2 linked regions of the Ovis aries genome follow. The protein of the gene in region 1 binds, or shares a complex with, the protein of each later gene. Links are inferred from orthologs where the notes say so. Each region holds a gene or a part of one and is shown on either strand. Other genes may lie near its edges.

Region 1 (2,738 bases):
GGATCTTGAAAGTTTATCTTCTCTTAGTCCCTCTGATCTTAGTGACCCAACCTCTATTCACATTCTACTTTTGAATTGATATTTTCAGAGGAATATTATTTAAGTGTAGAATAAAGTTAGTGATAGGTTAAGATTAAACACTACCATTATGACCAGCATTCCCCTGATGGGAAGCATCATGTCAGTCTGGATGACAAAATTCTAAAGCTGGATTTGGAGTGAGATCAAGAATTCACGTTTCTTTGGAACTTTACCCCTACCTGTGAGGGACTGTAACATGTGTTGCTCCACTGGATCACAGAGTTAATTTGACTAGCTGGCTGGCTGGCTAGGTAGAAATCTAGTCCATCTTGATGCTCTCTTCCTCTCATAGGTTGAGTCTCCTTCTCAAATGGATGTTGAATTGGTGACTGGGTCTCCCGTGACACTTTCACCCCAGCCTCGATGTGTGAGGTCTGGCTGTGAAAACCCTCCCGTTGTGAGTAAGGACTGGGACAATGAGTACTGCAGCAATGAGTGCGTGGTGAAGCACTGCAGGTGAGCTTACAGTTCCCTTCTTATAATTAATGTATGGCTAAATTAACTCTTGGAATAACATGGTATCTGAGCATATAATCAGTATCACCTTACCTTAGGTAGAATAGGTTGCTATGTATGTCTGATTACAGAAGCTACTAGAAAAGTTTCCCTCCTTAAAAAGAGCTTACATTTGCCATATAGACAAAGATGACATAATTAGCAGTTCACACTTTTCAGTTACCATGTTAGCTCTACGTGTTCATTTTGAAACTATGACACATCAAGCTGTTGGTGTCTATGAATATCAGTATAGTTTATCTCCTTAGTGCAAACCAGACCACTTAGGTAATGAATTAGAATTTGAGGATGGATAGGTGGTTAAGTAGCACAATAAAATGCTAAGTATAGGGCAAAGGGAAGAAGTTCTGAAGATTCTGCCCATTTCCCCAGTTTTCCTGAGATTGACCTACATTCATGAAATAAGGCATTGGTATTTCCTATCTGAAATCCTTTAAATTAGGACTGCCTATACTTCTGACTTCTAGGCCTACTGCCCTTATATTCCTATTTAGGTGATATCTATCAACCTATTTGTTTAAGACTGAGTTTTAAAAAAACATACCTAGGCTGTAATTCTAAGTTTGTGTGTATCTTTTTCTTTCTTAGGGATGTCTTCTTGGCCTGGGTAGCCTCTAGAAACTCAAACACAGTGGTGTTTGTGAAATAGTACATCTGTTCTCCAAGCCAGTGAAGACTTACTGATGGGAACATGTCCACCGAGCCTATTTTAAAAAGACAAGCGAGGCTTCTGGTAGTGCCTGATCTCAACCCATGATGATCCTTTATGTCTTTCACCTTTCTCCCCTTCTGTCGCTCTTCTACAGAGCTATGGAGCAGGGCCACTGGGTTTGCTGCAATCTGGAATTGCTTTTTACTTTCAAGTACAAGCAGATATATCAGTGATAATAACAGGAAAGGGTGAAGGGAATATAAACAAGTAGAACATAGGGGTGATGGATGGGTGGGGGATTGTTTGAGGAAACTTGTTGGTATAATTGTCGTAGGATTTACCTAAAAGATTATTAAAATGATAGAGTACTCAGCTTTGAGTCTAGGAAAAAAACATCACTGTGTGCATCCCTTCTAAAGGGGCTAAAAGGTTGCATTAAAGGTTACCTCTTAGAGAACTATTACTGTCACATCTGTACATTCATTATTAGTTTGAGAACAAAGGTTTTCAACACAGTAATAATAAGCACACTGGACTGTAGAGAAAATAACATCACCTAGGAGCTTCTTATTTCTCTGCCATTATATTTCTGTACTCAACTTTCTGATTGTATCACAGTTTGAGTGTAAAAGGGAGAACTCGACATCCTTAATATAAGAGGTTTCACCTAAGAGGTTTCACCAAAGTTTAAAGAAAGTGTGTTCACTTGTGTTTGATGAAATATCTTTTAAAAAAATAGGCCGAAGTGTTCTCACTTATACAGGCTAATTCTCTGCATACCCTAGGCACTTATTTAATGTAAGATGTGCTTATTTCATTTTTCTTGGAATTAAATGAATGAAAAACTAACAAAGCCACAGTTGTAACAGAATAAGCAACTATTTAAAACGTGACAGCTCTAGTGATGATAATCTTAAGTGATACTCAGATCTTACCTTGAGAAATGTCCCAGAGAACCCTTTCTTATCATGTTTATAATACTTAACTGCTGATCAAATCAACATTTTAATGCTTTCCACACATTCATTTAGTTTGAAGCTTTATAGCAACCCAATAAGGCAGGTAACATTTCCCAGTTACCTAACATTCCCAGTTACGTTCCCAGTTTACATTTATAAGCAATCATACTAAGTTGAGTTACACAAGATCACACACTCTTAAGTGGCAGAGCCAGAACTTGACCTCGAAATCCCAACTACAATACAAACTTTTATTTAAATAAGGGGGGAAAAAAGCTATTGTACAAACATTACTCTTCAGGTACAGCCTGTAGAGCCATGGCTATGGATGCTTAGGTTCAGAAGTACTTCTATAGATTCTTAGGTTTAGAGATGATACCATCTGGATATCTTTGCTTGAACCGGGCAACCACATCTGGGTCTAGTAGGTGGATCCCATCCAATTGGTTTCCAAGGGTGATCCTGAAGCAAGGGGAAAGACGGGGCAAGCCAAAAATCCTGGAATTTAAAGGCTTAATATTGTTAAAAGA
Region 2 (3,751 bases), on another chromosome or scaffold:
TATGGTTCCCAGGCTCTAGAGCATAGGCCACTCTGCAGCATGTGACATCCTCCCAAACTAGGGATCGAACCTGTGTCTCCTGCACTAGTAGACAGATTCTTTACTACTGAGCCACCAGGGAAGCCCTACAACGCTTTCAAAGAAGGCTTAAAGAAAAGTTGTGGGTGGTAGTCACAAGAAGGTACAACCAAATGAAAAGAAAATTCATCCACTTAAAATTTATGCAATCTAATGTAGGCTGCTGCTAAGTCACTTCAGTCGTGTCTGACTCTGTGCGACCTCATAGACGGCAGCCCACCAGGCTCCCCCGTCCCTGGGATTCTCCAGGCAGAACACTGGAGTGGGTTGCCATTTCCTTCTTCAGTGCATGAAAGTGAAAACTCAAAGGGAAGTCGCTCAGTCGTGTCCGACCCTTGGCATGGACTGCAGCCTACCAGGTTCCTCCATCCATGGGATTTTCCAGGCAAGAGTACTGGAGCGGGGTGCCACTGCCTTCTCCATCTAACGTATAGTACACCTTAATAAAAAAAATACAGAAATTGAAATCTGGCTCTGTCTGTTGCGGACCAACGGTCAAAAGCCACCAGCGTTGACTCACACCCAGAACAGGCCTCCTGGGGCGTAGCCCACCTCCGCAGTACCTGCTGTCCCTGGGCCTGCGGCCGGGGTTCCTGCAGGGGGCGCCTGAGTCTCTTAGCGGTGGCGAGCCCGCACACAGGCCTGAGGCTCCGGGTCACGCGGGGCCTTGGAATCCAAGGGGTAAGGACGTGGGAGTCCCTTCCCCTCCCGCCCCCGCAGCAGGTCTGGGAATTGCCTCTTGGGGCCACCCAGCCACGCCACTCCCTGCCGGCAGCGCTGACGTCACCGCCCCGCCTCCTCGCCTCGCGCCGCCGTTACCGCCCCGCCCCTTTTCCCGGCTGGCTCCGCGGTGAGGTTCCTCGCCCTGGGCTTCTGCCTGTCGTCCCAAGATGGCGGACACAATGAGCCGGCGTCGCGCCGGTTGGCCCTGAGGCGACCGTGAGGCTGAACGGTCGGCAAGGCCCCACAGTCCGGGCAGAAGAGTGTTGCTTAAGCAGGAGGAGAAAGAGGAGGAGGCGTCCCGACTGCCGGCCGCTCTCCCGCCCGCCGCCGGCGCGGCGCCCGCCCCGCCCCGGTCGGCCCCTCGGCAGCCCGCCCGTTCCCCGGGCCCCGCCCTGGCCCTGCGCCGCCGCCGCCGCCGCCTCAGGCAGCCGCCGCCATGAAGCTGACCGACAGCGTGCTGCGAAGCTTCCGCGTCGCCAAGGTGTTCCGCGAAAACTCTGACAAGATCAACTGCTTCGACTTCAGCCCCAACGGCGAGACGGTCATCTCCAGCAGCGACGACGACTCCATCGTGCTCTATGACTGCCAGGAGGGCAAGTGAGTGCGGCGGTGGCCTTGGGCCCGGGTCTGAGTCCCGCCCGCCCTCCGCGTCGTGGCCCTGCGCTCGCCCCGCGGCCCGCTCTCTGCCCGGGCCCGGCCCCGCGGCCTGTTTTGCACACGGTCCTGCCAGGGCCGCGTCCCCTCCGAAGCCGTCTGGGAGACCGTTTTTTTCTTAATAACGATGGCGATAACAATAGTCTTGTCTTCCTTCGGTCTCCTTTTAGACCGTTTTTGCATCTCTGGCCAAACCCCACCTTGACCTTGACCTTTAAACGCCGGGTCCGCCCACCGCGGCCCCAGCTGGTAGCTTTTCCGTTAGGCGGGCTTCGTCCTCGGTGCCCGTCGGCTGTGGCCCCCTTGCAGAACCGCGGAGGCTGCTCGGCTGCCTCATTCAGCAGAGGCAGCTCCCTCTGCCCTCTGCTCGGTGACCTCGATTCAGTCCTGGCCCATCGCCGGTCCCCTGCCCCTCAGCTTCCCGCCGTGTTTTTGCCGGAAGGCCGCGTGGGTTGCAGTTGTTACCTGTCAGGATTGATTTGTTGTGCCTCTTTGGGCCCCTTGTCTTTTCCTTTCTGTTGCAAATCATTCTCTTCCTCCCTCAGTCCCGGTTCCTACGTTTATAGTTAACTTTTTAACAGCATCTGAAACTTTTCCTTTTTGCCAGACACGGACGAACCTGGCCGTCCCATCCCGACCTGAATGTGAACCTCCTAATAGAACAAAGAAAATATCATGTAACAATTTCGTGTTTCTTCTTAGGCTTGTTTTTTAAAATTACACCTTACAGTCGATTAGGACTTAACCACAGTTCTAAGTCTGATCATGACATTTCTAGGTTGTCCCAAGTCCTCTGGAGACCCAACACATCTGTATCTCTGCAGAATCTTAAAAGCACAGCATTTTGCCAGTTCCCCCCTTTTATCCCTTTTTCCTCAGCTCTGCCCCAGACTTGCTTTCTTCATGTCCCTGCTAAATTGTGAGCTCCTTTTTGAATCCTTGGATTTTTCTTTACCTTCTCCAGCTGTTCCTTTTGTCCGTTTTGTTTAAACTGATGTCTTCTATAAACTTTCTTTCAGAACTTGTCTCTTCATTTCTGAATTTGGTCATTTGAGGTAATGGTCTGAACTCTATTGTTCTCCCCAATTTTTTCCTGTTTGGACTGTGAAAAAGTATTATGTAACTGGCTTTGGATCTGCCTGCAGTATGTGGAAGAGTGGCCTATAGTGGTGGTCCTGGGGGAAGAGAATTGTTAGCTGGACCAATGCTGAGTGGTGATGTGAGTCAATGTTATTCATTTCTGTCCAAGTCTGGCCACTTGCATTAACGTGGATTAGAGTCATGTATAAAGCTAGGGTGGAGATAGAGGTTGTGGGGTCCTGGAGCTGGAAGAAATTTTTAAGCTGATTTGCTTGAAATGCTTAGTGCTTGTGCACAGATTAGAACCTCTTCCTGGAACTTGAGGATGGAGGTGTGTATCTTCATTCAAAGAAAATGAAAATCATGGAAGCATTTCTTCAAAGTTTGTCTCCAAATATGGCATAATTTCCACCCCTTAGTAGAAATGACATTAACTGGAAGTCCTTCTTGTTATAAGTAAAATATTAATTTTATGACATAATTCAGTTCATTCATTCATGTAGCATTTTTACATAATTACAAACTTGGCAGAAAAGTTACACCATTGTTTACAAGAACTCCCAGGATCCAATAATTAGTTATGTTTTGCTCTGTTTTGTCATTTCTATGTAAATGTTTATATTTACATATGTATATGTATATATATGTGTGTGTGTGTATGTATATACAGGTGTGTGTGTGTATATATATATATATATGCATTTTTTTCCCTGAACCATTAGATAGTAATATAGAGGTATCAAGCCCCTTTATCCTAAACACTTCAACATGGATATCCTAAGCACAAGGACTTTTTCTTATGTAACCAGATTACAGTTATCCAAATTAGAGATGTAATATTGACACAGTAGTATATAGCACATTCTTTAAAAGATTCTCATGTGAATTGTGACCTTGTTTCACCGTGATCTGTGATAAGAGAGTGATCTGATAGACTGGGTTCTAGTTTGGCTTTGTGACTCGGTATGTGACATTGGTCAGATCTCTTCTCTAGCCTCAAGGAGTCCATGATCCTAAGTGATAACATGAAGAAAAAAATTTGCCACTAGTGTAGGTCAAACCAACATTGGAAGAAAAGTAAGATTTCCTTGGAAAGCAGTATCTGTATTAGATGGTACTAATGTTGGGAGTTTGAAAATAGCTAAAACAAAATTCTTTGTGCTTAATATTTTCTCTGTTTACTGTTCATTGACACTTTCTTTATAATGGAGTTCAT

Evidence for each region.
Region 2: TOX4 (region 1) and WDR82 share a complex: the UniProt entries of both Homo sapiens proteins name them as parts of the PNUTS-PP1 phosphatase complex. The link is inferred for Ovis aries from reciprocal best matches to the Homo sapiens genes TOX4 and WDR82.

Annotation. Positions count from the first base shown.
Region 1 is NC_056060.1:24,025,659-24,028,396, reverse strand, and holds the end of TOX4 (TOX high mobility group box family member 4), read left to right. Parts: intron 1-373; coding exon 374-537; intron 538-1,185; coding exon 1,186-1,246; 3' UTR 1,247-2,102; downstream 2,103-2,738. Other genes in the region: METTL3 (N6-adenosine-methyltransferase catalytic subunit), read right to left, coding at 2,559-2,670. UniProt on the Homo sapiens protein: Transcription factor that modulates cell fate reprogramming from the somatic state to the pluripotent and neuronal fate. In liver, controls the expression of hormone-regulated gluconeogenic genes such as G6PC1 and PCK1.
Region 2 is NC_056072.1:48,701,360-48,705,110, forward strand, and holds the start of WDR82 (WD repeat-containing protein 82), read left to right. Parts: upstream 1-945; 5' UTR 946-1,237; coding exon 1,238-1,398; intron 1,399-3,751. UniProt on the Homo sapiens protein: Regulatory component of the SET1/COMPASS complex implicated in the tethering of this complex to transcriptional start sites of active genes.